Linked DNA regions of Struthio camelus. The protein of the gene in region 4 binds, or shares a complex with, the protein of the main gene of each other region. Links are inferred from orthologs where the notes say so. Each region holds a gene or a part of one and is shown on either strand. Other genes may lie near its edges. The genes, in order: CRIPT, PRPF4, PRPF8 and SNRPG.

Evidence for each region.
Region 1: SNRPG (region 4) and CRIPT share a complex: the UniProt entries of both Homo sapiens proteins name them as parts of the minor spliceosome. The link is inferred for Struthio camelus from reciprocal best matches to the Homo sapiens genes SNRPG and CRIPT.
Region 2: SNRPG (region 4) and PRPF4 share a complex: the UniProt entries of both Homo sapiens proteins name them as parts of the U4/U6-U5 tri-snRNP complex. The link is inferred for Struthio camelus from reciprocal best matches to the Homo sapiens genes SNRPG and PRPF4.
Region 3: SNRPG (region 4) and PRPF8 share a complex: the UniProt entries of both Homo sapiens proteins name them as parts of the U4/U6-U5 tri-snRNP complex. The link is inferred for Struthio camelus from reciprocal best matches to the Homo sapiens genes SNRPG and PRPF8.

Annotation. Positions count from the first base shown.
Region 1 is NC_090944.1:108,650,841-108,658,317, forward strand, and holds the start of CRIPT (cysteine-rich PDZ-binding protein), read right to left. Parts: upstream 3,013-7,477; 5' UTR 2,898-3,012; coding exon 2,882-2,897; intron 2,698-2,881; coding exon 2,632-2,697; intron 2,220-2,631; coding exon 2,165-2,219; intron 1,508-2,164; coding exon 1,404-1,507; intron 1-1,403. Other genes in the region: PIGF (phosphatidylinositol-glycan biosynthesis class F protein), read left to right, coding at 3,056-3,119, 3,503-3,753, 5,409-5,500, 6,326-6,442. UniProt on the Homo sapiens protein: As a component of the minor spliceosome, involved in the splicing of U12-type introns in pre-mRNAs. Involved in the cytoskeletal anchoring of DLG4 in excitatory synapses.
Region 2 is NC_090961.1:12,158,468-12,166,412, forward strand, and holds the start of PRPF4 (U4/U6 small nuclear ribonucleoprotein Prp4), read left to right. Parts: upstream 1-4,941; 5' UTR 4,942-5,235; coding exon 5,236-5,307; intron 5,308-6,068; coding exon 6,069-6,246; intron 6,247-6,402; coding exon 6,403-6,589; intron 6,590-6,815; coding exon 6,816-6,903; intron 6,904-7,717; coding exon 7,718-7,797; intron 7,798-7,945. Other genes in the region: anaphase-promoting complex subunit CDC26, read right to left, coding at 4,354-4,527, 4,686-4,766. UniProt on the Homo sapiens protein: Plays a role in pre-mRNA splicing as component of the U4/U6-U5 tri-snRNP complex that is involved in spliceosome assembly, and as component of the precatalytic spliceosome (spliceosome B complex).
Region 3 is NC_090957.1:16,069,838-16,076,683, reverse strand, and holds the start of PRPF8 (pre-mRNA-processing-splicing factor 8), read left to right. Parts: upstream 1-3,828; 5' UTR 3,829-4,010; intron 4,011-4,127; 5' UTR 4,128-4,137; coding exon 4,138-4,237; intron 4,238-4,345; coding exon 4,346-4,514; intron 4,515-5,186; coding exon 5,187-5,351; intron 5,352-5,452; coding exon 5,453-5,671; intron 5,672-6,346; coding exon 6,347-6,559; intron 6,560-6,840; coding exon 6,841-6,846. Other genes in the region: TLCD2 (TLC domain-containing protein 2), read left to right, coding at 230-607. UniProt on the Homo sapiens protein: Plays a role in pre-mRNA splicing as core component of precatalytic, catalytic and postcatalytic spliceosomal complexes, both of the predominant U2-type spliceosome and the minor U12-type spliceosome.
Region 4 is NC_090968.1:3,162,673-3,169,688, forward strand, and holds SNRPG (small nuclear ribonucleoprotein G), read right to left. Parts: upstream 2,049-7,016; 5' UTR 1,929-2,048; coding exon 1,897-1,928; intron 1,657-1,896; coding exon 1,634-1,656; intron 1,262-1,633; coding exon 1,137-1,261; intron 757-1,136; coding exon 706-756; 3' UTR 519-705; downstream 1-518. Other genes in the region: protein FAM136A, read right to left, coding at 3,911-4,099, 4,172-4,312, 5,276-5,362. UniProt on the Homo sapiens protein: Plays a role in pre-mRNA splicing as a core component of the spliceosomal U1, U2, U4 and U5 small nuclear ribonucleoproteins (snRNPs), the building blocks of the spliceosome.

The DNA.
Region 1 (7,477 bases), on a different chromosome or scaffold from region 4:
TTCATATATTGACATCATGATACTGGACACTCATCTAAGAGTCTATTAGGACAGACAACAGCAGGGAAAATACCACATGATTTACTCTAGAGTGCAAAATCCATCCCACAGGCTGTTCACCCCAGGTCTAAGTAGAGGCGTAGTTAACTTTGGAACATTGAATAGTCTCTAGCTTTCAGAGACGCGCAGCAACTGAAGCACTAATCCATACGACCACACCTGTTTCAAGAAACATGCCATATCCATTCTCTTTGATGGTCAGAGCTAGAACTTAAAGCAGCTGAAGCTCCGTCTTTTATGAAGAAATCCATTTCTACCTGGAAAGGTACACGAGCAGACAAAAAAGTCCTCAAGCTCACCCAAATCAACTATAAATTTAAGAAAGCATAAGGTTCCCTCATGTGGGATTCTGGCAGCCACCTGGTGAGCACCCAGAAAACAGAAAAAATAGCAGCTCTACGGCAGGCTGCTAAACCACTGACGCGCCGCCCAGTTGTGAAAGAATTAATGTCATTTCATAAACAACATTTAAACTCATACCGACTAGATGTGCCTCTACAGCTAACAATTGGTTTAGCCCATGTCTGTGCTGTGTGGATTTTCCAAAATTAGTAATATAACTGAGTTCATATGCTGCTGCTTTTTCCTCAGGCAATTACAAGCTTAGGCCTCCATTTTGCTTACCTACTCAAATTCACAAGACTGGTAAAAGTTGTATATCCTTAAGGCTCAACTTTTACCTCACAGTTGCTTGAAATTGTTCAACAGTTCATTGAGAAAACAAAAAACAATTTTCAACAACCCTAAAGGCTTGTTGTGAATACAGGAGACTGAAAACCTCAAGACAGAAGCAGAATTTCAGTGCAGCTGTTCATACATGATTTAGAAGTACAGAAAGATTTTGTATGTTATATACTACACTGGGCAATATCTTGCTTTCTAAACATAAAGGTTTTATTCTTACTTTTTGATTTTCAGTTGCAACTTAAGCCAAGCTTCTCTCACAATGCAAGAAGCCCGTTTGCCTTGAAAGGCACTTTATTAGCTCTTTTTACAACAGCATCTGTTTGTCTCTTTGCCTTTTATTTCCCAGGTTTTCTACTTTTGTAGAAAACAACCTGAGTCCATGTTGCAATATCTGACCACCCTCACAGTGAAAGTTTTTTCCTTATGTTTCATTTAAATCTCCTCCATTCTCACTTCTGTCCACTGTCTCTTATTCTATCACTGTGCACCTCAGAGAAAAGCTACCTTCAACTTCTCTACACCCTCCCATTAGTAGCTGGAGATAGCAATTAGATCTCCCCTTAGCCTTCTCATTGTAAGGCCAAACAAACCCTGAGTTGCGTTTGCTCACTACTTTCAAACCAAACTGGGCTAACTCAGTATCCAGTGAATCTCACCTTTTTTATAGGCACATCCTTGACAGTAGTGAGACCCTGGCTGATGGACAGAACTCTTACAAATCCGACATATTGCAAATTTGTTCTTTCCATAAGGATCAAACCTGAGGAAAGAGAGAAAGGAAATATACTGTATTTATACACCACGAAGTAAAGTAGTTCCGCTACCTCATCCTAAAAAGTCTAAGCCAGAGACCACAAACAGAAACTATGATTTAGAAAAGGGACATACAAAGATTGTTTCAAACAGGTTGCACTCAAAGTCTACAGAAAGACCCCTCGCTACCTTACAAAGAGAGGTTTCCTGCATTATGAAAACACAACGTGCCTTTTCATTAAGATGCTAGACTATTTTGAACTAAATGTCTTCCAGCAATGGCTTGCCCTCTCTACAGAGGATAAAATAAACCTTGCAGAAGGTAATAAAAGGGCCTGCAAATATTAAATACGCTGAAGAGACCGTACAGGTGGTCTTAGCAAGAGAGTACGTCTTTCCAGCTTCTCTTCTAATACGAATATCAAACTTAACACTCAGTTTTAGTGAGCACTGAAATATATTTTTGATTCAGCAGAAAGCACCCATGAAATATGTACAAACATACTGTTACCAACTAATAGCATGCCGCAACCCCCATTAAGAATTTTAAAAACAAAGTCCATTTTGGACATGGTTTGAGAAGCTGCCCAGTTGTGCAGGAAACAGGTCCTGGTTACAGGAAAATGACCTTTTTAGACAATCAAAATCAGGATTAAATACTAACCTTGCCTTCTTTGAAGTCAAAGCCTTGTTTTCATTCAGTTTTCGGCCCCCACTTTCTACAGAAAGAAAAATAAAGATGGTAGATTTCCCAGTTTCGATCAGGTTTGGGAAAAAGCTTAGCTTAGAAGTTTTACACTTCTGTAAATGAAATCAGAAAGAAAAGCACAGCGTATAACACAGGACTAAAGCACAGGACGACAGAACCCCTTACATTATCTTCTGCTTGGGTATCGTCACTCCACATGGGTCGGGGGAGAACCCAGACAGATCCAGCCCTGAAAAGTTCAGGGCAAGTAAACGCCCAGAGGATGGAATTAGCACGCTAAGGAAACTACAACAGTTAAAAACAAACCCAACAGAACAGCTATTACAATCCTCAGCCTTAGAATTGAACGACGATACAGGTGCCCAAGGGGCTTTAAGACATCTGAACGAGAAGCGTTAAAGCCCCCCGGAAAGCAGAAGTACCTGTGGTGTTCCTTGCGCCATCCTTCCACGTATCAGGAGTAATTACCGTGCCCAGTTTTTTCTCGCCTACGTGAGGAAACACGCGCGCGGAGGGAAAAAGCTCAAGTTGGTTTGCGTTAACGCCGGCAACCAGCCCCGCCTGCCGGCGGCCCAGCCACCGCCCCGCGACCCACCGACCGACCGAGTGACCCCCCCCGGCCCCGGCCCCGGCCCCGGCCCCGGCCCCGGCCCCGGCCCCGGCCCCGCTCACACTTCTCGCACACCATGGCGGACCCCGACCACAACAAACGGCCGCTTCCGGCCCCGCCCCCCGGACGTGACGCGCCCGCCGGGTCTTCCGTTGCGCCGCGGCGGGGCGACGCGCCGGTAAGAGCGGGCGCGGCTCGCGCTCCTCGGCTCCCTAGGGCCGCCCCAACGGGCTCCCATGTCTTCTCTCCTTCCCCTCCCCCCCCCCGACCGTTGGGCTCGCGGCTGCCGAGCGCGGCGGGGTGAGGCGGCCCAGGCCCGGCCCGGTCCGGCGCGGGGCGGCGGGGCGGCCCGCGGGGGAGAGCTGGGGGCGGCTGCTGCTGCGGGAGCCGTGGCCTGAGACGTGCCGCTTCGGGCCGCGCAGGAGGGGTGCCCGGGGCGGGCGAGCCCGCAGCCCGCCCAGCTTTTGAATGTGGGCAGCCTGTTGAAGGACAGCATTGCTGCGTGTTCCCCCCCCCCCTTTTTTTTTTTAAATGAACGAATGAAACTTCTGCCACAAAGTAATCCTCTTCGGCCCCAAACTAAGTTCAGAGTTTTGCCTTGTGTGTTTCAGCTAGGGAAAAATACTGCTGGCTAGTGCTTCTGGCTGTCTTTCAGTAACTAAGCACAGCTTGCTTTCTTGCAGGTGACTGGTTAACAGAGAACACAATGAAAGAAGCAGAAATAAAGAGGCTCCTAGCTGCCAACCTGCTCTGTGTTTTTTCAGTTATTCTAACAACAACCGTCCCAGCCTTCTTCCTGGACAACTTCTCGGTTTTGGGAACGCACCTCACCTGGCTGTGCGTTTGTTCTGTTTCCATTAGTGCCCTTAATATAATCTTATATTTAATCCTTAAACCAAATCTGTCTCCTAAGAGAAGTTCATTTGCTCACAAGGTAAGATTTTTATTCTTAAATTGCTACCAGGCAGTACTGATGGGAGGTTGAATTCTTTTACTGAAATAGTCAAGCGTGAAAGAGAAAGCAAGTTACAATTTTAGGTGGTGAAATCTTGTTTTCCATGAATGAGCTGAGAAGTAAGTTTTCTGATATTTTCACAGTGTTAAATTTTCTCTACCTGTAAATAGTCTGTTCAGGTGAGTGATTCCTTGCCTTTTCGTGTCAGTATACTGTGGCTTGTATACTGTGGCGTCCTTGATCCTCCAAGAGCTTACCTGCTGGCAAAAATCAGGGCGAATCCCTGAATGGGTACAGAACTCATTTCATAATCTGGGCCTGAATCCCAGTGTTATGAAAAGACACTTTTCTTCTGAGTAGTTAGAAGTTACTAATAATTCTAAAGGAAGAAAAACTTTTCTTAAACTTTTGACTGATGAAAAAGAAAACAAAGAGCTCATTAAATTTTAAACTAAGTTGGTAGATTTTAGAAGATGAGGTGGAAAAGCACTGAAGTGACTACCTTTCCTTGAACGAATACATCTGCACACAGAAGAATTTAAATCTGTGATAAATTTTTATAGTTAACATTTGTAACAGAAGCATTAAAGATATGAATTCCAAGAAAATACCTCTGAACAGAGCAAATTTGGAGCGGCACCCAACTTCCCTGGGAGTGGTGGAATAGAAAGGCATTCACAAGTCAGCTGGATAGTCTTGTCCTCCCAACTTGCTGAGTCAGACAAAATTTAATGCTCTTAAACGGTCGTTCTTAAATAGTTGTGCAAGCTAAACATCCTTGAAAGCAGTAACTTTTCCTATGAAACTTCTATCTACTTTTACTGACAGAGCAGGGCATGAAATCCACTAAATCATGGAAAACAAGCATTTTAACCATATATAATTTAAAAAACAAAGCAGGCTTCAAGTTTTAGGTGAGGTTTCATCCCAACTAGCACAGGAATATCTCTCCCTTCCCTCCCTCCCCCCCCCCCCCAAAAAAAAAAAAAAGTGTTCAGGTGAAACTGTGACACTTTATCAAGTGGCTCTATTTTGATATAATAGTGGGTACCCAGAAACTGTTGCTTTGATTCATAGAAAACTATATGCGTTTTGTAGGTTTAGAAGGTCATGGATGTTTCTCAAATGGATTTAGATTTTAAGATGGCAGTTTCAAAATGCAATACGTTTTATGTCATGTAGTTTTAAATACTATATTTCATTCTGAATATCATGTATGTATATTGCATCTTCCTAAATATTTTTGCACGTTCTGCGAAAGATGCTTTTTAACAAATGGGTATAATGCTGAAATGTAACACGTAAACATAAAAACATGCCCTAGAACTTTTTCCATTTATCTTGTTATTTCCAGTTATTTTTTGTATGTTTGTATAATAGTATGATATATGAAAAGATTTTTAGATTGGAGTGTGTTCATGTTATGTTTTTTAATTAATGATTTGAAGTATTAAACATAGGGAAAGCGGTCTGGAAATACAGGAGCGTATAATCATACTGTGCTATAGTTGAAATTAAATATCTAAGGAAGTGGGTACAGTGAGATGCTACTGATAAGATATTGACTATATACATTGCTCATTGTTCTCTTTTCTTTTGAAACATTATTCTGATATGTTATTGCTCTTTTTTAGATATCCAGATTTCTAAAATGCTGTATGTACTTTTTCATGTCTTGCATACTATTTCATGCGATTATTGTTCTTTATGGAGCACCTCTCATAGAGTAAGTCGGAAGAACCTTTTTTCCTCTAAACTCTTTAAGTGGCAGTTCTTCTTGCAGATATTGGTATAAGTACTTGAGTATTTCCTGGTACATTGGGAGTTAAAGGATAACCTCCTGGCTGGGCGAAGAGTGGCTATTTTTCGTAGAAGCTAGCCCTTAAAATTTCTATATATTTGGAGATGTACAAATATAGACATATTTTATACTTGTATGTCATATATATGGTTGCAAACATTTTCCATGTTTCATTTAGTCATTTTTCCATTAAGTTTCTGAAACGTGCATCTCCTATAGCTTTCATCCTTTTCATATTAGTATTTTAATTGTTAAGGGTGGTTTGGAAAAAAAAAAAAAAACAAAAAAAAACCCAAAAGGCTGCCTCACATCTCTCCTAACTGATTTTTGAGAGGCGCTAAATTACTGAATAGCGGTGACATCATGTGGCTTGGTTTCATGGTTGCTTCCACTAAGTCAAACTAGAAAGATAAATGGAATGATAAAGTAAATATCCAAGTGTACTTCAGTTAGAAAGTAGTAACCTTCTGTGTAAGATATCGCTGTATTTGTTAAAATGTTACAGGTATCGGACATTTAAAATAAGCTGCTACATTTCAGATTTTGTTGAGGTAACGAATGGATGTTAGAATTCTTTCCATCTTTCTTTTCTCTTCTACAGAGTAAGAAGAAAAACTTTTTTTTTCTTTACATGAATTTAAGAAAAATGCATGCTTTCTAGATGATTTTGAGTTTTTTTCCTAGTTCTTGGAACTCTTAGAAAATCACCAATTGTGCCTCAGTTAATTTTATTGTGTTCCTTCTTTGTAGGTCAGTGACTGAGACATTTTTGTTTGCAGTTCTGCTATCTACTTTTACTACTTTACAATGCTTGTGTGTGCTGGGACCAAACATTCAAGCATGGATACGGGTATTTAGTAAAAATGGGTAAGTTCTACTTTAAATTTTCTCCATTTTTTTCCCATAATAGAAATAGAGTTGTCATAAACAATATATCATGGAGTTTCTTGTAAAGCAAATAAAACATCCTGAATTATGGGTCATTTTCACTTTCATAATTAAGGGCTTGTGAAAGTTTTTCTGGCAAAGAAAACTATTATCTATTTTGAAGGTGTAACTGATTTAAAAAACTGGCTTTTTATTTCTGGTGGCCAGAGTTTAAATCTTTCTTTATTTGCATTTGAAAGACAAAAACCTTCAAATGCGCTATTTGACTGTTGTCAAACCGTTGTGCATGCTAGTATGATAACTGTCAAATACAGAAGAGATCTGTGAGTAAACGCTGAAGGGAGCATGACTGCACATGATCTGAGAGTATCCTCATAAGCGCAGCTTTTAAAGTAGAAATAGCAAGACAAAACAAACATTATTCTGGTGTTATCTTTAACCTGAATATAATTGTAAAAATAATATGTAATTTTCTGCGGTCTTAAGCATGTAATCCTTATCCATACTCTTTTTCAAATTTCTGAAAAAGCTGTTTTCGGTGTCAATTTTCTAGCATTTTTTTTTTTAAGAGTATGTTTAAAGTAAAATGAGCCTTTTTTAGTTGGTGAAAGCCATAATATAGGCACATATCAAGGATAATGCATTTTTCAGAAGTATTCTATCTAATGGGTGAAAAAAGGCAGCAGAGATAACAGGACTGTTGAAACACTGGGACTCTGAAACATAAAAAAAGCCCCGCGTTTGCTTGAGGTTCTAATAATATGATGTTAGTATTAGTGTCGTTGTAATGTGTCCCAAGAGTGAAATCTAATCTCAATGAAAGTAAAAAGTTGTAAAATCCTGCTGACCTAAGGAGTTACTTCGGATTTCAACTTGTATAAAGAAGGCCAAAAATAGTCTTTTTATAATAGCTTAATGTGTTGGCCTTGGTAGTATATCAGTTTTCAGCTTACGGAAAAATGTGTTGAGTGCTCGCTCAAGTCAGTTATGCTAGTTTTTTATTTTCAGTTTAAG
Region 2 (7,945 bases), on a different chromosome or scaffold from region 4:
AGGTACAGCGGAAAAAGGGATGTCTCTAGTCCCTGTCTCCCTATGAGCTTTGGCCATGCTTTTTTTGGTTAAATGTTGTCAATCCAGAGAAGCCATCTACCTCCCCTGTCGCAGCCTCCCTAATGCTACAGGCTGCTGTGTTCTTGGCCCACTTTGCCAGGCTCTGAACAAAACTTGGCCTCCCTAATGATGACTTCTACTGACTGCTTTTGCTGCAGTCCCAGCCTTTCTGCTGGCTGTATTTGAGGTTGTCCTGATGTTAACACTAGGCTTGCATTAAGTAGTGCTTGGAGGGAGGTGAGGACTCTAATGATTACTAGAACTTGAGTAAATTAATTCATGCGTTGACACCTATGTAGCAAGCTTGGAGTGTGATGTCCTATGTCTGTCTTCTCTGACTGTGCCCTGACGATCAGTCTCCATACGATCTGTGCCTCCAGCCTATCACCTTGGAAGAAGTGCACAAAATACCCAGGCTGTGTTCATCAGCTGGCTTTTATTGTTTTTCCCTGAGTGCCTTTTCAGTTGATCTGAAGCCAGTCCCAACAGATCCAGCAGGATACATAGTTTTGTTTACAGTGGACCGTCACTTTTGTTTTTACTCTTGCTCTTTGTGGAAGTAACTTGTCTAATGTTACTGTGAATATCAAGAATCCCTTGTAAATAATTAGCCAATAAAATAGATTGCATTTTACCATGGTGTATGTGTGTTTTGGAAATAACCCTCAAAGCAGAGACTGCAGCTAAAGTGGAGGCCAGCAGCTTCTACTGAAACATTCAGCAAGTGACTCCAAGAGTAAGTGCCTGGTTTTATGAACTAACGACCAGTAGCCAGGCAGCTCCGGTCTGGCTTTCTCCAGCCCCTTTTCCCTTGCACTACTCTCCTGTGCCTGTTGTGACAAAGCGAGTGTGCAGCAGGGGCTAAGTGTCCACCTTCCTGTGGTTGGGGATTAGAATAAGGAGCAGCATCTTCTGAGCCCATGGCTGGCCCTGAGCAATAACTCCTGAAACTGCTAGAATGGGAGTGCTGGAAATTAGTAATGCGTAAGTAGCTGTTTGTTTCTGTTTATTTAAATTTTGCTGAGTGTGGCCAAGGCTGAGATGGAAAAAGGAACTAGTGCCTGCCTGATCTGCTTTCCAGTACAGAGGGAGAGGTCAAAAGACAAAATTTGGGGCAGATGTGATAATAAACCCACTTGGTCGTGGGAGATGTCTATATACAGCAAGGAATACTGAAGCTCCCCTCACCCCGCCCCAGAGTTTTATTCCAGGTTGCAGTCATCCACACAGGAGAAACAGGGGTTTGGGTTGTTTTTTGTTTCCATAAACAACCAAAGGGTGTCTGGAACTTCCTGCTGTTGCTCCTAAAATGTTTCCCTGTCGGATTTAGGCCATGCTGGGGATGCCTGCATAGCAGGGCAGTCCCTCATAATTTCACATGGTGTGAGACGGGAAAACCAGCTCTGTTCTAGTCAACATTGTCACTTCTTCCAATCTGAAGAATGGTTTGAAGAGGTTTAAGTTTTGTACATTTCTCCAGCCTGACCTGAAATTTGATGCCTCATACAAGGCTATAGCATGAAGTCAGCAAGTCAAGTTTAGAGCACAGGAGTCCTAAAACATAACTCGGAGGCAAAAATATTTCTTACATTTAGAAATCAACCATCACTTTTTTGCATATGCCCAGGGCTGTGATCAGTAACTGCTAGGTAGGTACAGCCCCTTCAAGGAAGCTATACTGAATGTTTGATTTTAGGAACACGTGTCAGGTGGATTATAAAGAGCAGCATGAGCAAAAACAGTAGCCGAGGTTTCACATGCCCTGGAAAGGAAGGCATGCCCTGTGAACTCAGGCAACGTGAGTTTGGACTGTGGGCTGAAGTCAGAGAAGGAATTGGAGTTGTTTCACTGAAATTAGCTTCTAAAGAGATTCAGTCTTCTTTTGTGCTGGAAAGCAGGAGACTAAACTGAGCATAACATGTCAGAACGGGCTTTTCTTTTTTTATGAAAAATTCAATTAGACACCACTGGGAGGAGAAAATAAGGGAAAATTTGGCACTGCAACAGAGAGGAATGGGTTTTGAGGAACTGGAGTTTCGAGACAGGATTGGGAGACTGCAGTGAGATGATCACTGAAAAGGGTGAAAGGTGCGCGTGTTGAACTACAAGGTGAGCATTTCCCTGGAGGAGGAACAGAAGCAGCTAGAAGGGCCGAAAGCGTGATGCAAATAAAACGTCAAAACTAAAACCTCAGAAATTACAGCATGTGACCTCCCTGGACGGCATGGAGAGAGGGTGCTCCTCCATTTCCAAACATGACAACACTCCCTTCTTTCCACAGGGAAAGGTTGTACAGTGGATGGCAGAAGCAATTAGGGAGGCAAATAGATACTGAAAAATATCAATACCAATAAAGAGCATTCTTTGCCCCTTTCCTTATCCCTGTGTAGGAATAACTGTCACTGCCCAATCTTTGCTCGTGAGCAAACTTTTAAGCACAATAAAAACTTTCCCCTAGCCCTACTATTATGCAAGTCCTACAGTTGCATAAAAAGAGAGTCTGAGGGGAATGTGCCAGCATCTCTGCACAACCTTCCAGTCCGCTTCTCCCTTACCAGTGCTTACAGTCCCCATGTCTCTTTTTTTAACATGGCCAACGCTATCACTGAAGTGGATCGTCCTGAACCCGTCCAGGTTTTGATTACAGCTCTGGTACTGCTCAGTTCTATCACATTCATGCTTCTGCCAGGTTTCTCCAGCCAATACTCCGAAGTCAATACATGCACAAATAAAACAGCTGCCATGCATGCGAGTAACTCTCAATAAATACCATAGAGTCAAAGTTGCACTGTGTGTACTTGAATTCATTAGGCTCGGTTACAGAAGATGGGAGCGTTGCCAAATTCACAGGGCCAAGGGCTCCACAGTTCAATCTTTAGCACTGTATTAAAAAGATTGTCAAGGAATTTGCATACAGTTTGTCAACCTGGGATATCAACTCAAGACTGTCTGAAGTAGGTAAACAGCAAGGCTGGACTGGAGAATAAACAGCAGGGAGAAAAACAGCAGGGACTGAGTGGTAGTAGGTTGTGGAATATCCTCTCAAGGGAGATGCCTGGAACTTTGTCACTTGAGACATTGGAAATATAACTGGTTACTGCACTAGAAGATGGTAAAAAAACAATCCCCTACAGGAGTAGGGAAAACTTCCCATTCCATCTTTAAGTCCCATGTGGATGTTTTGATACAGGCACTGCGGCTTGGCAGCCTGCTCTGCCTCCTTCCCCAGGCTGGAGGGAACAGAGAATCTTTTAAACACTGACAGCATTGACTCCTTCAGTTTTTTATTTTGCTTCCTTTAGGTTGGCTGGCTACACGCTAGACTCCTCCTCAGGGCACTACATTATCTTACTTTTTAATTTTGTACCCATCTAACTGACAGGGGTACCAGTCACAGCTATAAATTAAGGTACTTGCTAGTCTGTCACTATCAGAAATGAATCCATGTTTGCATGTGACACTGTCTATAAGGGGATGTGTGGTAACCTTTGATCCAAGCAACAAACACCTCTCGCTACATAGCGATGCAGCTAGCACGACCCACTCGCCAGGTCTGAATGGAGGGGAAGGAAATAAATTTAAAGGAAAAAAAATGCTTAATCAGAAACTATGGAATACTGTTCAATTTCCACGTGCCTAGCGTGTTCTGCTGCGTTTCATTCAAAGGAAAAAATCCACACCCTGGCTGTGCCACTGGCTGTAAAGCAGCTCTACAGCCATCTGTGAAACATGTTCGGGACTAGTCCATTTTAACAGCCATGGCGGGCTTCCTTCCTGGCCTTCTCAGAAGAAGATAGAGCGGTGTCTGTGAGAAGTTTTGCCAGTTGGACCCCGATCCATGACACCCAGTATCTTTATTCACCCAGAGCTGTAAAACACTAATTAGATACTCTGCAGCACCCTTCCTCATGGCAGGGAGGTCACAGTCTTGTAGAGCTGACGGTTTCAATGAATACATCCCGCTGGCTCAGTTTTTAAGATAACTAAATCAAAAGATCCCCAAAACCTCTTTCCGCAGAGGCAGCGTTTTACCCCCTCAGCGTAACAGGGCACCTGCTCAGTCCCCGGTTCTCGCACACGCGAAGCAAACGTTGGTCTCGGCGCCTCCAACCCCCGCTCTCCACCGCCAGCGAAAGCAGCTCGCACGCTTAAAAAAAAAAAAAAACATATTTATTTAAAACAAAATAGTTAGCCAGGGGCCATTCACAGGCTGGTTAAGGAGGAAAATTAAAAAAAAAAAATCAAGAAAATCCCCAAAATAACAAGAAAAACCGGTCCAGGGCTCCGCCGGCCCTAGAACTCGAAGGTGCCGAAGTGGGCGGCGCGGCCGCCGGCCTTGGGCTGCGGCTTGTAGCCGATGCGCTCGCCGATGATCTGCTCCCGGCTCTTGTGCTCGGCGCCCAGCGCCAGGGCGGCCTCCTCGCCGGCCGCCGCCACCTCCGCCTCCTCCCGCTGCTTCTTGCGGCTCTGCAGGGCAAACGGCGCCGCCTCAGAGCCCGGCCGCTCCCGGCAGGCGGCGGGGGACGCGCCGGGCCCCGGTACCGGCGCCGCGCGCTGCGGGGCGGCCCCGGGCCCGCCTCAGGCCGCGCCCCCCCGCCCGCCGCCGCGCCCGGCCCCGCTCGCACCTCCAGGTCCTTCCGGATGCTCTCGAACTCCTCGATATCGTCCAGCTTCAGCTCCAGCCGCGTCGGCTTCCGCCGCAGCATCGCTCGCCGCCGCCGCCGCCGCCAGCGCCGCCTCAGCCGCCGCCGCCCGGCTTCAGCCGCCGCCACCGGCAAGGAGCGAGAACGCACCCCGCCGCGCCGTTTGCCACACCTCCCGACCTGCCCCGCGCTCCCCGCCCGTCGGGGGCCACACCTCCCGGCATGCCCCGCGCTCCCCGCCCGTCGGGGGCCACACCTCCCGGCGTGCCTTGCGCTCCTCGCCCACTGGAGGCCACATCTCCCGGCATGCCTTGCGCTCCTCGCCCACTGGTGGTCATACCTCCCGGCACGCCCCGCGCTCCCCGCCAGCTGGGAGTGGGGCGTACCTCCCGGCATGCATCGCGCTCGCCGTTCACTCCGCCGCGTACTCAGGCTCCCACCTCCCGACACGCGCCGCGCGGCGCCCCGGAAGTGACTGTGGGGTGCCGGGGCGGCAGGGCGCGGAGCGGCGGGTGTCCCGGTGCCGGCCGCTATGGCTTCTTCGCGGGCTCCGGTGGCGCGCGGCGGCGCGCGGCCCCCCGCGCGGGCTCCCGCTCCCCCCGAGGTGCGTGTCCAGCCGGGCCGGGGCCGGGGCCGGGGCCGAGCGGAGGAGCGGGCCTGGCCCGCCGCCTTCCGCCCGCCTGCGCGCCGGAGACCCGAAAGGGGGAGCGGGGGGCAGCGGGGCGGTTTGCGTGGCGGGGGAGGCCCCGGTGTCGGGGACGCAGCGAGCGGCGGCGCGGCGGAGACTCGAGTGCCGTCAGCGACACCTGAGCCCTCGAAAGGGGTCGTGACCAGACTGTTGATGTTTTTTCGCAGATTTTTGAAGAATCCTGTAATTTTCTTGAAAAGTGCTTTCAGGCTTCTGTCCTGCGAGTAAAGGAGGGTTTTTTTTGGTAATGTTACATCTCCCGCTTTTCAGCGGGGGCATTGAGAGGTGGCATTCAACATCTCATGCCTCTTCTAGAAGTTCTTCAGCAAGATTGGGAAGAGCTTCATGTTTTTAAAAAAAAAAAAATAGGAGAGAGAGAGAGAGAGACTTAAAAACTATGCCCAAGCAGACACTAAAAAAATAGAAAAAGATGCAAATCTAATTTAAGCAAGTCTATTGAACATGTCGTTTAACTTTTGATTTTTTGCACTTGAGGGGCATAGCCTTACTGTTCTAAATTAGCATCTCGTGCACAGCTTCAGGGTCTTTTCATGATGTCCTTACTAGCTTTCTCTGGCAGAGCAGTGCTTTCTCGCACAGCCAAGCCATTCACCGAATGTCTTCTATTCAGCTAAAACACACTGAAGAAGTCTTAATGTTCTGCCTCTATTTTCTAGGTCGCAAAGAGCAAGGCCTCAGAGGAGAGCGATGCTCCTCCACCCAAAAGAGCCCACATCTTTTATGGCAGTTTGGAAGAGAAGGAAAGAGAGCGTCTTGCAAAAGGAGAGTCAGGCCTGCTGGGAAAAGAGGGCGTGAAGGCTGCAATTGAGGCTGGCAACATTAACATAAGCAGTGGTGAGAATGTTTAACCCTGTCACCTTTTGATTCTCGCTCTTGATTTTGACATATTCATAAGTCTCTCTGTTTGGGCTTGAGCATAATTTAAAATCAAGAACGAGACACCTTTGTCCAGCTGCCGTTTTCAATTTAACGGCTTCACTTTTGGTTTAGGTGAGGTCTTTGATCTCGAAGACCATATGAGCGAGCGTCAGGCCGAAGTCTTAGCCGAGTTTGAGCGCAGGAAGAGAGCCCGGCAAATCAACGTTTCCACTGACGACTCTGAAGTGAAAGCCTGCTTACGAGCCCTTGGGGAGCCCATCACGCTCTTTGGAGAAGGTCCTGCAGAAAGGAGAGAGAGGTGCTGTGCCCAGTCTTGCGTGTTGCTAACTGTTAACACTCAGCTCTACCCCATTTGTCAAATTCCTGAAATATTTCTTGTAGTTTGGGTGTAATGAACGCTGCTAGTCAGTGATGCTTCTTTATGATGTAGCAAGAATAATGGGGGTGAGGGGGAGAACAGAAGACAATGGTCAGACTATCTGACAGCTCACTGAGTGAATGTGATTTAATGTGTTTCTTTTCAGATTACGAAATATCCTTTCAGTGGTTGGCACAGATGCCTTGAAAAAGAGTAGGAAAGATGATGACAAGTCTAAAAAATCCAAAGAAGAGGTAATATTCTCTCTTTTTCTCTCTCCTTATTTATTTATTTATTTATTTTGGAGGGGTTGCTGCTAGCTCTTAATGTGGCGGGGAATATGTATAAAAAGTTTTTAGATACCTTATTTAGACGGTCTACAATAGATCCAGTGCTTTTGGTTTCAGTCAGACTGACAGTGAGGGTTGCAATGTATTTAAATCAAGAGAATTAAGTCCAGGTTGTACTTCAGACCAAATTACATGTTGCATATGGCGTATAAACCAGGAGACTGAGCATTGGAACTGTTACTTAGTAAATCCTTTATTGCTGATCATCATCTTACTCAGGAGGAAAAAAACTATGTTCCTGCCACTACATCTAGTTCTGTCTTTGATTCTTCTTTCTTTCTGCCTCTCTTTTCTGAGTCTGGTTTTTTCCTTATGATTTTGGAGGGTTGCTATAAGGAGTAAGTACAATTTCTGCAGCTCCAGGCTTTCTTTTTATTCCTCCCTTTTCCACATATCCAGTAAAATCATCAGCAGTAAATGGTCAAGTGAAATATAAGATTGTGTTCAAGCAGAATACACCTGTGGGGCATGGCAGTACACCAGGATCTCATTTGTAGGACAGAGAACTTGACTTGTCTGTGTTAAATCTCTTTTTTGAGGACTTATATTTATGCAGAATACCCCATTCAGCCCCTTAAGACAAAGGCCTTAAGACAGCAAGCTTTAAGAGAAGGTGCTGCGGTGGCAGTTATGTACGAAGAGGAGTTATCTAAGATGACTGAATGGAAGAACTCTTATCACATTAGCTTTTTCTTTAGTTTTGTTCTTTTTCTCTAAGTATCAGCAAACCTGGTACCACGAAGGACCACGCAGTCTGAAGACAGCTAGGCTGTGGCTTGCTAACTACTCGCTCCCCAGGTAAGGAAAAACAAAATACATGAAAAAGAGAGAGATGCAGGCTTCTGTCAAATCTAACCATTAATCCCACTATGGGTAATGCCAGAAACTTGAGATCAAGAGAACAGGGAACCCCTGCTGGTAGACAAACCCAGTGAGGTTAGAGTTT
Region 3 (6,846 bases), on a different chromosome or scaffold from region 4:
GCTGGAGGTGGCAGGACCAGCTGGCGGCTGAGATGCTGCAGAGATGTAAGTGGGGGGATGACCAGTAGTTGGGCACTGGCATGACAATGGTTTGCACCTCTGCTCCATGTTGCACCCAAACACGAAAGTCGCTGGCAGTGACTAAGAGCTGCTGTTCCTGCAACCATCTACACCCTCCTGAGGAGACAGCAGCTCCCCGGCTCAGCCTCCCTTCTTTTGTCTTTCTCAGGTGATCGTCTGCTTTGGTATTGCAGTGGTACTCCATCAGTACGTTGGGTTTGCCCTCATTGCCTTGCTGGTGGAGATTAACTCCATCTTCCTCCACCTGCGGCAGATTCTGCTCATGGCCAACCTGGTGCACACCACCTGCTACCGCCTCAACAGCATCGTCAACCTGGGCACCTATGTGGTGTTTCGCATTGCCACGCTGGCCTGGATGACACGGTGGCTCTTTCTCAACCGGGAGAACGTGCCCCTGGCAACGTACACTGTGGGCACGGTGGGCATGGCAATCATGACGCCCATGAACATCATCCTCTTCTACCGCCTGCTGCGTAGTGACTTCTTCAAGTCCAGCAAGGAGGTGCAGCAGGACAAGGAGAAATAGCCCCTTTCTCTGCAGGGTCCAGGGGATGAGCAGCCCTGAGGCCTATGGAAGAGGACAGCGAGGAAGAAGAGCAGTGGAGAATGAGCACGGATATTTCAGTATCTTGCTTGGAGGATCCACACTAACCAGAGCACCTGGGCTGCTCCAGTGGCTGCAGATCCCAGGCCCCGCGCTGTGGAAAAGGCACTTCCAGACCAGGCGCTTGGGGCCCTGCTTCCCCTGCACCTTTGATGACGTGGTTGGATGCCTGGGAGCTGCTCAAAGAAGCCTCGACAGGTCTCGCAGCTCCGTAAGGCCACTGCTGAGATGAAAAGGGAGCGAGGAGAAGACCATTGTCTCCCTGCTGCTCTTCCAGACAGCCGAAAGCTGCTGTGTGTCTCTGACCCCTTCGGTGCTACACCCTGCAGCATCCCACAGGCTGGGCACCAGCACTGCCCAAGGGCCAGCCCAGCATCACAGGGACCTTGCTGCCAGCCCTGTGCTCTCCATGGCACATCCCACCAGGCAGGAGAGGCGCCAAAGCTTCACCCTCGAGGCCAAGTCCAGCAAAAGCCAAATCCTGCACGCGAGTCCTCCCTGAGGAGATAGTCCCAGGTGGGTGATGGAGGGAGAGGCTGAGGCCAGCCTGCAGCAGGTGCAGCCTGGGCACCAGAGCCCTGGGCAGTGGGTGCTGTGTCCATGCGCTCGGGGATGGGCTGCTGACTCCTCTTGGCACCTGGACATATTTTCAGTGTTGCTTCATTCCCAGGTGCAACAAGTCCCCCTGCACAAGCATGGGAAGGAGCAAACTGCTGGCCAGGATGGGGCTACGTGGTGATCACTTCCCACGGAGGAGGGGTCGTCAGATGGGCCAGATTTGGGCATCTTTTAGGAATGAAGAGTCCTGCTGCAGAGCCTCCGTAACACTCTTGTGCGGCAGCAAGCGCTCATACTAACACAAGCTTTTAATAAACAGTTGCAAATGAAATAGCTTGAGGGGAAGGGGCTCAGAGCTGGGCAGGTCCTCACGTTGCCTTTTTCCTCCTGCTTCCCCTGCGCTGCGCTGTTTGCAGTGGCCCAACACCTTGCAGAAAAGCAAAGTCATCCCACTCAGAGTTACGTGTGCCCATTTGGAGAAATCCGCTGGGTCTGTCTGTCACACTCTCTTTGGGGCAGATCACCCTGAATGTGCGATTTCTCCATTGGTTTGAAACAGCAGGGAGACAGTCTGCAGCTACTGGCAATGCACTGCTGGGGGTGGGTGGCTTCTGCCTCGAGGAGGAAAATAAGGGCTCAGACACATTTCTGTCCAGAAGGAGAAAGACAAGCGACACGTGTGGGTAGTGGGATGCTGGAAACGACTCGTGGCCAAAGCTGCTTATGTTTCTATTTGTGGACAGTGCAAGGAAGCTTGCAGGTGCAGGGTTTGGGTTTGTCACCTCGGGGCCCACGGCGGTTATCAAGTGCCCGTGTGCCTCACGTACCTCCCAGGCAGGGCTGAGCAGGCAGCCAGCGCTCTCTTTTGGATTTGGCCCATTTCTGCGCAGTTTTTCAGGAGCTGCCCTTTTCGCAGCGCAGCTGCTCGGCCTCTGCACCCGTCCAGCAAGGCTTGCTCTGTCCTCCTGCTTCTGCCCACGCCGGGCACGTTTCTCAAGGCCTCAATTGTGTTGTCGCATTCCTGCCGTCACATGGATATCGTGTACCCCAGGCACGCGAGGACAGCCCGGGTTATGTTATAAAAGGCACCCCCCCCCACCCCGGACTGGCACATGCTGCTTTTCTAGATACATCACCTACCGAGCAGGTGCGTACGGAGGATATCGCAGCAGGAGGTTGAGGCCAGGGAAGCCCTGTTTTGGGGGACTCTCTTAGCAGATGGGATTTTCCTGCAGTGCTCATGGTGGCTTTGCAGCTCACTGCAGCCAAGCGCTTGGGTACCTGATGCTTACCTGTCCAGAGGAAAAATGCTGTGGCCTTGATTTTGGGAAGGGAGCCCAACCCCCACCCCTCCAGGGCTGGGTTAACGGGGCACGGACAACCTCTCCCCTTTCCAGCACCCCTGCCATGCCCAAGCCCTGACGCCAGTGACCGCCTGTTGGGTGGCTGCGGTGCATTAAGCCCGCTTGTCTTTGCAGCGCGTTGTACCTCGCGCTTTCACAGTACACTGAACCAGCTCGGAGGGCTGTGTGACGGCACGCCGTTCCCGGGGGGCCAAGGAAGGGGGCCCCGAGGACGGTGGCTAATTGCCGACGCACTGACGGCCCCGGCGTCAGGTGCTGGCGGGAAGGAGGTCCTGCGCTCCAGCCGTGGGGTCTGGGCTGGGTGGGAGGAGGTGTCCCTCCCTGGGGGGGGGGCTCTGGGGCACCCCATGCTCCGGCCCTGTGCGGCGCTGTGGGGTGGAGTGGCCCTGGACCCGAGGAGGGGAGATGTGAGCACCATGGGGCCACGTGGGCTGGCCAGCATGCACTGCCATTGCCATTGCCCTTGTGGGGGGCCCCCACCCCACAGCACCCTATGGAAGTCCCCCCTTGGCCCACAAGGCCCCATGGGTGGCAGCAGCACCCCACAGAGGGTCCCCCTCAATGCCCATAAGGCCCTATGGGAGGCTCACCCCAGAGCACTCTATGGAAGGTCCCCAGGTCCTCCTCACCCTACAAGGCCCTATGGGGGGGCCTTGCTCCTCAGCACCCCATAGAGGGTCCCCCCTGCCCCACAGCACCCCATGGGGGTGTCCGCCTCAATCCCCACAAAGCCCAATGGGGGGGCTCACCCCACAGCACCCCACGGAGAGTGCCCGAGATCCCATGGGGGACCCCTCGCCCCCCCAAAGCTCCCACAGGGGGCCCCCATCACCCTACGAGGCCCCATAGGGGGCTCCCTCGCCCCCCAGCATCCACCAGCCCCCCATGGGGGGGGGTTCCTCTCCATCCCCCCAAGGCCCCATGGGGGGGCCTCACCCCGCAGCACCCCAGGGAGGGTCCCCTTCGCCCCACGGGGTCCCATGGGGCCCCTCGCCCCTAAAGCACCCCATGGGGGTCCCCCTTGCTCCCCCCCCAGGGGCCCCCGCAAGGCCGGTGGCGTAGGTGAAATAGGCCAGGCGTTGTCCAATCAGCGCCGCCGCCGTGCTGTCGCCGCCGTCCCCCCTCCACCAATCGAAACGGCGGGAGGGCGGGACCGGAGAGGGAAGGGCTGCCTATCGGAAGTGTACTCCAGGCACGGCTTCCTTTCCTCTTCTGCCTCCTGTCCCGCCCCGCACCCCGCCTCCGCGTTCTGACGGGCTGCGGCAGCTGCCCGTGAGGCGGCTCGGAAGCTGATTGGAAGCTCCTCCTGAGCGCGCCCCGCCCACATCCGGGGCTCCGAGGCGCGGTGGCGACGGGCCTGGGCCGCCATTGTGGTGGGGAGTCGGGGGGTGTCGCGGGAGCCGGTGAGCGCGGGCGGGGGTCGGGGGGTCCGGGGCGGGTGTGGGGAAGGGGTCGTGGCGGCGGGGGGGGAGGTTAACGGCAGCCGCCTCCCCGCCCTGAGCCCGGCTCCGTGCCCGCAGGTGCGTCGCCATGGCCGCCGTGTTCCCGTACCGCGGCGGCTGCGCCCCGGTGCCCAGCCCGCTGGCTCCGCTGCCCGACTACATGTCTGAGGAGAAGCTGCAGGAGAAAGGTGGGTAGGACCGGTCTCGCCGGCCTCGGCCAGCCCCGGGCCCTCTGTGTCCCGCCTGGGCCGGCCCCGCAGGCCGGGCCTGACCCCGCTGTGCCTCTGTCCCCGCAGCCCGCAAGTGGCAGCAGCTGCAGGCCAAGCGCTATGCGGAGAAGAGGAAGTTCGGCTTCGTGGACGCGCAGAAGGAGGACATGCCCCCCGAGCATGTCCGCAAGATCATCCGCGACCACGGTGACATGACCAACAGGAAGTTCCGCCACGACAAGCGCGTCTACCTGGGGTAACGCAGCCCCCTGCTTGGTCACGGTGGGCCTGGGTGGCACAGGGGAGCTGCGCCCGGTCCTCCTCTGCTGCCTTGTCAGAGCTCCGAAGGGCTTTCCGTGTCAATTGTGTATAGAAAACAGCGTAGTAACCTGAGGAAGACATGATAACCAGTTGCACTGGGATAGCAACACAGAAGAGTATAAGCAAAGGAAGCGGTTGCTTTGAATTTTTGAGAAAAACATTACCCTGAATAACAGACAGGTCTTAACAGGAGCTTGAGGAAATGTGTAAGGTGGCCAGTGCACGTTCTTTGGACATCTAATATGCACCTGTGCTTCTTTGCTATTTGGGCTCAGAGAAGCATCTCATGCAAATTGGGATCCTTTGCACTAACTTTCAGTTACCTGTAGAAACTCATTTGAAATTGATTTTTTGGGATGGTACTGTTCTTAGCATGTAACATCCTCTCTGAAGCTAAATCAGCAGAAAACTTTTTGGTGGCAAGATCTGTGAAGCACAAGGATAGACTGGGTAGGAAGTTGGATTTGTCACTGGAGACCTTTATGAACGGATCAGATGAACAGTTTTCGGGAGTGAAATATATATAGTTAGTTAGGCTTTCAGCAGATGGATGGCTAACTTCTTGAGATCCCTTCCAACTCTGTTTTTCTTTGATTTCTGTTTGTAGTGCTCTGAAGTACATGCCTCATGCAGTTCTAAAGCTCTTGGAGAACATGCCCATGCCTTGGGAACAAATCAGAGATGTTCCAGTCTTGTACCATATTACAGGCGCCATCTCTTTTGTGAATGAGATTCCTTGGGTCATAGAGCCAGTGTACATTGCACAGTGGGGGTAAGCACCTTCTTCCTTAACCCTCATGGGAAACTTGCAGATAAACGCTCGTGCAACTACGCTAACGTAGTGCTGTACGTAATGGTCTCGGTTTCTGCCAGGTCAATGTGGATTATGATGAGGCGAGAGAAGAGGGATAGGCGTCATTTCAAGAGGATGAGATTCCCTCCGTTTGATGATGAAGAACCCCCTCTGGATTATGCTGATAACATCCTGGATGTAGAGCCCCTGGAAGCAATCCAGCTTGAGCTGGATCCGGAGGAAGATGCTCCTGTGCTAGACTGGTTCTATGACCACCAGCCACTGAAGGACAACAGGAAGTATGTACCTCTTTCTGATGAAACAGTTCACTGCAAAAAACAAATGAAAAAGAAAACCTAAAAAAACCAAAAAACCCCAAAACATTACAAACTAAATAGGCCTACTGCTATATGCAGACTTTATAGACCCTTTGGTCTTATTGTACTGGGCTATGTATGATGTTAGTGGGGAGAGGAAGCCTTCGCTCAAGGATGCAAGGAGGAATCTGACTGCTTTGAAACTAGTCCTCTATCTTCAGCGTCCATGGAGAACAAGCAAAGTGTCTCTGTTCAGGAAGGCTGCTGCCCAGTTAACTGGCTAAAACTGGAGTTTTTCCTTTCATGCCATAAATTTGAAAACCTGAATTGTCAGATTGGAATTTAAATTGATATTTGTTAGGAGTGCACTTACGCCTCAAAGGCTGTTGAATATGACTTCAGGTGTTGGTGTGTCAGTCTGGATATGGAGGAGGGGAATTGGTCCGGTCAGTAACTGCTAGGTGGTTGTGGTGCACAGTGGTCTTAAGCAATCCTTCCACCTTCTCTTCTGTCTGGAGGGACCCATGAGTTAGCTGTCTTTAACTGTTTTCTGTAAATGACAGGCAGTGAAAGGTGTTTGGATGGTCTTGGCTCTTTGGTAAAGGCCCAGTGTTCTCTGGCTGTGTAGTGAGTGTCTCGTGCTTTGTTCCTTCACAGGTACGTAAATGGTTCTACATACCAGCGTTGGCAGTTTACGCTCCCTATGATGTCCACGTTGTACCGGCTGGCCAATCAGCTGCTCACTGACCTTGTGGATGATAACTATTTCTATTTGTTTGACCTGAAGGCATTCTTCACCTCCAAGGCACTGAACATGGCTATTCCTGGAGGTCCCAAGTTCGAGCCTCTTGTTAGAGACATCAATCTTCAGTAAGTGCTGAGTTTAGGAGGAAAGATAAGGGGTTATCTGGGTAAGGGCTGGGAAGGTTTGTGTGTTACCACGTGGCTTGCCCTGGGTGAGCTATACCTGGGTGTTCTCTCTCTGCATAGCATAAAGTTTGTGATGTGCTTGCTGCTTAAAAGACTGAATGGTTGTTAAGGTCAAGAGGAGGCTCAGGGAAAAGGGCTGGCATAACACCTTTGGTCAACGATATTTGCCTTTCTGTCCTACTTGAATGCTTGTATGACAACTTCTTTTTGTCTCATTTGAGGGATGA
Region 4 (7,016 bases):
GGATTGTTTAGTGCTCCTTTTGCAGCACTTAATGTCTAAATTATGTGTGGCGCTATTACTAGACTCGCCATAAGCTCTAGTCTTGTTTGAATGCTTTAAACCTTCTACAAGTGTACCAGTACTACAGAGCCCCATGCTTTGCTCAGTCTACTCTACCCCTTGCACTGCACGGGGCAACTGAAATAACCCAAAATAGCAATACCTCACATCGGGGTTGCAGATCGTAGTCAAGTTGCTGTCACAAATATTTTAATAAGACAAATGCTCCAGCCCTTGCCACTACACTGATAGTGTAAAAGAAGCCTAATAGCCTGCTTGCCACAAGAGGGCAGAGGAATACAGGACCAAAATTAATGCCAATATTGTGAAACTGTGCGTGTCACCTGCTGCAAGGACAAGCCTATTTTCCACCCGCTTGAAGAAAGCAAGCCCCCGGAAGTTTTTCAGAGTTTTAAGGCTATCAAATAATAATAAATCTGTTGCGCTAGCAGCATAACAACAGGTACAACTCACTCAAGTTACTTCAACCATTACAAAATTTATTTAACAAAAAATAAGTTTACACAAGTGATGTATGGTTTGTAGAGGATTTAACTGAGTACACAAAATAGTAGAGTTAGGTCCCATCACAGCCCAACATGCTGCACACACACAGGGGTCATCCCACATGTTGCACACACTGTCACTAAGCGGGTTTCACTGGTTCTATACTCGTTCCAAGGCTTCTAACATAATGATGCTGTTTCCTCGTATTACCTAAAAAGAAAAGTTCACAGCAGCCAGTGAGATGAAGCCCATCGGTAAACACAGCTCTGTAACACTGCAGATTCCCCCCTGCCCCATCCAAATTTGTCCTCCTAGAAGACTGCACAGTAGATGCTGCTCCAAAGTTGAAATTAAAATGCATTTCCCTACAAAGGAAAACTACAACTAATTTTAACTCTAAAACACAATGGATTGTTGTGTGCAAATACATCACTTCACAGGCAGTTTACATTACATTTTCCTTACAGCAAGTACATCAACTTCTTAGAACTCAGCTCCTTTAAATACATATATTAGCTGTCTTTGCAGGGCGGTGACAGACCAGGTACCTGTTACTTGTTTCAGCCCTGACAATCCAAACTAGTACTTACCACCATCCCTATGTTGTTCTGCTGTCCTCCTGGTGCCATCTCCACACACTCATCTATGACTAGATTCATGAAGGGATCAAACCCTCGCAATATCCCCTGGACGTGTCGGCCACCGTTTAACTTCACTGAAAGAAATCCAGTAAGCGTGAAGGACGGGACCACCGAACTGCGGCATCTGAGGTGGTTTTGCTCAGGACAGTAGCTCAGAAAGAGCGTGCTGTCATAATAAGAGTTGGGGGGGGGGTTCAATCACAAGCACGAAGAGCATCGCACCCTCACTTAACGCTGCCAGTGTAAGAAAGGGAGCGTAAGAAGCGAGAGGGTGAGAGATAATGCAAGGTAGCAATCTTAAATATATATTATATATATATATATATATATATATATATATATATACACACACACACACCGATTTGGGGGCATAAAAGAGATCGAGGACGCCCGCTGCCGTTAACCTGCCCCCCCCGCCCCGCCGCCCCCCGGAGCCCGGGACTCACGTGACAGCTTCTTGTCCATGAACCTGCAACGACACGGCGGGCGCCGGTCAGCGCGGCGCGGGCGGCCCGCCGCCATGACGCCCCCCACCCCCACCCCGCGCAATGCATGCCGGGAGAGCGGCGGTTGGAGAATAACGGTCGCTCGGGCAGGTAACCGCCGCCGCCCCCCCACATCACCCCCCCCCCCCGTCCCCCACTCACAGTTCCACCTCCCTCCCCCTCCGCCTTCCCGCGCCCCCCCCCCGCCCGGGGCCGGTACCTACTTCTTCAGCTCGGGCGGGTGCGCTTTGCTCATGGCGTCTCCTCAGCGCCGGGGCCACCGTCCGCTCTGCCGCTCGGCGCGCGCCGCCTGACGTCACCGCGCCGCCCCCTCCACCCGCCCCGCGTGACCCGCTCGCCAGCCAATAGCGGCCGCGCCTCCCCCTTCTCCCCGCCCCGCCGCCCCTCGCGCCTCCCCGGAAGGCGACACTCCCCTCCTTCCCCCGTTGCCGAGCGGTTACCGCATTCCCCCGAGCAGAGGCGCAGCAGCTGCGGCACCAAGCGCCGCAGGAGGCCCGGCGGGGACACGCTGGCGGAGGGGCAGAAGTAGCAGGACACCGGAGGGCTCCTGCGGCCGGCCGTCCCCGGAGGCGACGGCGGCACCGGCTTGGGGAACCGGGGGAGGATGCGCGGATACGCGGGTCAATACGGCTAGAGAGGGCGCCACGTGCTCCCGGCGCCGCTGGGCTCCCCACGCGGCCGCGCGCGCCGCTCCGTGCAGCGGCACCAGCAGCGCCGCCCGCCGGGCACACGTACGGGGGGCACCGTGCACGCCGCCGGGATCAGCCCGCACCGTGCACACCCCCGGGGATCAGCCCGCACCGTGCACATGTGCCTGGGTCACCCCATGCCTTGCACACCCCCGGGGATCAGCCCGCACCCTGCACACTCCCGGGGATCAGCCCGCACCCTGCACACCCCCGGGGATCAGCCCGCACCGTGCACATGTGCCTGGGTCACCCCATGCCTTGCACACCCCCGGGGATCAGCCCGCACCCTGCACACCCCCCGGGATCAGCCCGCACCGTGCACATGTGCCTGGGTCACCCCATGCCTTGCACACCCCCGGGGATCAGCCCGCACCGTGCACATGTGCCTGGGTCACCCCATGCCTTGCACACCCCCGGGGATCAGCCCGCACCGTGCACATGTGCCTGGGTCACCCCATGCCTTGCACACCCCCGGGGATCAGCCTGCACCCTGCACACTCCCGGGGATCAGCCTGCACCCTGCGCACCCCCGGGGATCAGCCCGCACCGTGCACACCCCTGGGGATCAGCCCGCACCCTGCACACCCCCCGGGATCAGCCCGCACCGTGCACATGTGCCTGGGTCACCCCATGCCTTGCACACCCCCGGGGATCAGCCTGCACCCTGCACACCCCCGGGGATCACCCCGCACCGTGCACACCCCCGGGGATCAGCCCGCACCCTGCACACCCCCGGGGATCACCCCGCACCCTGCACATGTGCCTGGGTCACCCCATGCCTTGCACACCCCCGGGGATCAGCCTGCACCCTGCACACCCCCGGGGATCATCCTGCACCGTGCACACCCCCGGGGATCAGCCTGCACCCTGCACACCCCCGGGGATCAGCCCGCACCCTGCACATGTGCCTGGGTCACCCCATGCCTTGCACACCCCCAGGGATCAGCCTGCACCCTGCACGCCCCCAGGGATCATCCCACACCCTGCACACCCCCAGGGATCACCCCGCACCCTGCACCTGCCCAGGGATCACCCCGCACCGTGCACCTGCCCAGGGATCGCCTTGCACCCTGCACACCCCCAGGGATCACCCCGCACCCTGCACCCGCCCAGGGATAACCTTGCACCCTGCACACCCCCAGGGATAACCTTGCACCTTGCACGCCCCCAGGGATCACCTTGCACCCTGCACACTCCCAGGGATCACCCTGCACCTTGCACGCCCCCAGGGATCACCTTGCACCCTGCACACTCCCAGGGATAACCTTGCACCTTGCACGCCCCCAGGGATCACCCTGCACTGCACACGCACTCACGCCGGTGTCACCCCGCGCCCTGCGCACGGGCAGCGGTTGCCCCGGGCATGCCGAGCCAGCGACCGCCGGCCGTTCGGCACGGGCACCAGGGGCTCCCTGCTGCCAGCACCCAGAGCGCCACCCGCTGCGGCCCCCCCCGCCACCACGGCGCCGCTGGGGCCCAGCTCTGCACCTCGCCTTTAATAAACGCGGGGCCGCGGCCCGGCCCCCCGCTACTGCTCGAGGGCGGCCAGGCTCTCCTTCATCCTGCGGGCCATGGCGGGCAGGAGGCGCAGGTGCTCGTCCCCGCAGGCGGCCACGCAGGCGTCGAGCTGGGCGCGCGCCCGCGCCTCGGGGCCACCTGCCTCCAGCGCGTCCCGCGCCTTGTCGTTGCAGTGCAGCGTGCAGCGGCCCAGGCGGTCCTGCGCGGGGACAGGGCTGTGAGCGCCGCGCCGTGCCGCCTGCCGCCGCGCCGCCCCCGCCGCCACCCTCACCTGGAAGCGCTCCAGCTCGCCGGTGACGATGGCCTGCGCCTGCGCCAGGGGCGCGTGGCACCGCTCGATGCACTGCTGCACCTGCTGCATGGAGGCCGCGCTGCTCTCGCAGCACCGCGCGCTGCACCGGAACATGGCGCCCTGCGGAGCCGGGGCCGTCAGTGCCCTGCGCGAGTGCCCTGCGCCGCCCCTGCCATGAGCGCGCAGCGAGCCGGCAGGGCCAGCCGGCCTCTGCAAGCTGCTGCCCTCCTGCTGCCGCAGGGCTGCACCGGGTGTGCAGGGAGGCGTGTGCAGCTTGCACAGGGGGTGTGTGCACAGGGTGTGCACAGGAATGCATGGAGCGTGCACAGGGGCTGCACAGGGGGTGCACAGGCACGCATGGAGCGTGCACAGGCGCTGCACAGGCTGTGTGTGCACAGGAATGCATGGAGCGTGCACAGGGGCTGCACAGGGGGTGCGTGCACAGGGTGTGCACAGGCACGCATGGAGCGTGCACAGGCGCTGCACAGGTTGTGTGTGCACAGGAATGCATGGAGCGTGCACAGGGGCTGCACAGGGTGTGCGTGCACAGGGTGTGCACAGGCACGCATGGAGCGTGCACAGGCGCTGCACAGGGTGTGCGTGCACAGGGTGTGCACAGGCACGCATGGAGCGTGCACAGGCGCTGCACAGGGTGTGCGTGCACAGGGTGTGCACAGGCACGCATGGAGCGTGCACAGGCGCTGCACAGGGTGTGCGTGCACAGGGTGTGCACAGGCACGCATGGAGCGTGCACAGGCGCTGCACAGGCTGTCTGTGCATAGGATGTGCACAGGCACACATGGAGCATGCACAGGGGCTGCCCAGGGTGTGCACAGGCACACATGGAGCATGCACGGGGGCTGCCCAGGGTGTGCACAGGCACACACGGTGCTTGCCCAGGGTGTGCACGGGGTGTGCACAGGCACACGTGGAGCGTGCACGGTGCTTGCACAGAGGCTGCACGGAGTGTGCCCGGGGTGTGCTCGCCCGGGGGTGCCCAGGGCCGCGCTGGCGGGGGTGGGGGGGGCGCAGGGGGCGCGGGCCGGGGCCGCGCAGAGCTGCCGCCGCGGGCGCCGCCGGTACCTGCAGGCCGCGGATGCTGTCCCGCTCCAGCCCCTGCACCATGCTCTCCACCGCCGCCTGCACCCGGCCCTGCGCCGCCTCCGCCATGCCCGGCCCGGCCCATCCGCTTCCCGGGTCAGCACCGCCCCCGGCCCGGGCCCCCCCGCGCAGCGCCCAGCGCCGTCGCCACCCGCCGGCCGTGCAGCGCCGAGCACCGCCGGCACCGCCCCAGCCGGCCTCTTGCACCCTGGTTTGGCCGGGATGTTGCATCCCGGATCCGCCGGGCTCTTGCACCCCGGTTTGGCCGGGATGTTGCATCCCGGATCTGCCGGGCTCTTGCACCCCGGTTTGGCCAGGATGTTGCATCCCGGATCCGCCGGGCTCTTGCACCCTGGTTTGGCCAGGATGTTGCATCCCGGATCTGCCGGGCTCTTGCACCCCGGTTTGGCCGGGATCTTGCACCCCGATTTGGCCAGGATGTTGCATCCCAGATCTGCCGGGCTCTTGCACCCCGGTTTGGCCGGGATCTTGCACCCTGGTTTGGCCGGGATGTTGCATCCCGGATCTCCTGGGCTCTCGCACCCCGGTTTGGCCAGGATGTTGCATCCCGGATCTGCCGGGCTCTTGCACCCCGGTTTGGCCAGGATGTTGCATCCCAGATATCCCAGATGCGCCAGCACCTTGCGTCGCACCCCGTGGCAGCTCTCGTGCCCCGGCACCTGCCCCTGCTGCCCCTTTGCAGGCCCCGGCATGGGGGGCACCCGCTGCCCCTCCGGTTGCTGCAGCTTCCAGCCTGGATTTACCTGCCTGGTCCCAGACAGAGGCCACGTGCGGGGCCGGCTCGGCCTCAGCACCCGGTGCCGGGGCCCAGCACCCCGAGTGCCCCGGCGAGCGGGGCTGCGTGGCGGCACGTGCCGGCCGCCCCGTGGCTCCTGCGGCCTGGCCGCCCCTCCCGCCGGACTCCAAAAAAAACCCAACCCCAAACACCTGCAAATAGCACCGCGGGCGGCCGGGACCGCCGGCATGCCGGGGCGCGGGGGCTTCGCGCCGGCGCCGCCGCGGTCGCTCCCCGCTGGCCGACGTGCGGGATCGTGGCGCGCCCGCCCGCTTATTTTTATTGCTTTCGTTTAAAAATACGGCTGGGCTGGCAGGGGGCCACGGGTGTCGGGTCTGGGAGGTGCCGAGGGGAAGCGCGGCTGGGGGATGAGCCAGCACCGGTGGCTCCTCCTGGGGACGCGCCAGCCCCAGCGCTGCCCCTTGCTCCCGGGGCCCCGGGTGCTTCACCAGCGCCAGCGGGGGGGAACTGTGGGCCTGGGCCGTGCTTGCACCGCCGTGCTTTGCAGGGCAGCCCGGGCACGGCCGCGCTGCGCTGCCCGCACTGCAATGCAATGCCCGTGCCACAGTATGCTGCCCGCACCAAGATGCAACGCTTGCCACAGGGTGCCCAGGCTGTGATGCCGTGCCCATGCCTCGCTGCAATGCCCACGCTGCCAGGCAGTGCCCGTGCAGCGATGCGACGCTTGCACTGCCACGCAACGCCCACACTGTGACGCAACGCCCACGCTGCGCTGTGCTCCTTGTGCAGTGATGCAATGCCCATGGCACGCTGCAGCGCCCGTGATGCAGTGCCCGTGATGCAATGCAATGCCCACGCCACAATGCAGCGCCCGTGCTGCAGCGCCCGTGCTGCAATGCAATGCCCGTGCCACGATGCAGTGCCCACGACGTGGTGCCTGTGACACAATGCAATGCCCGTGCTGCA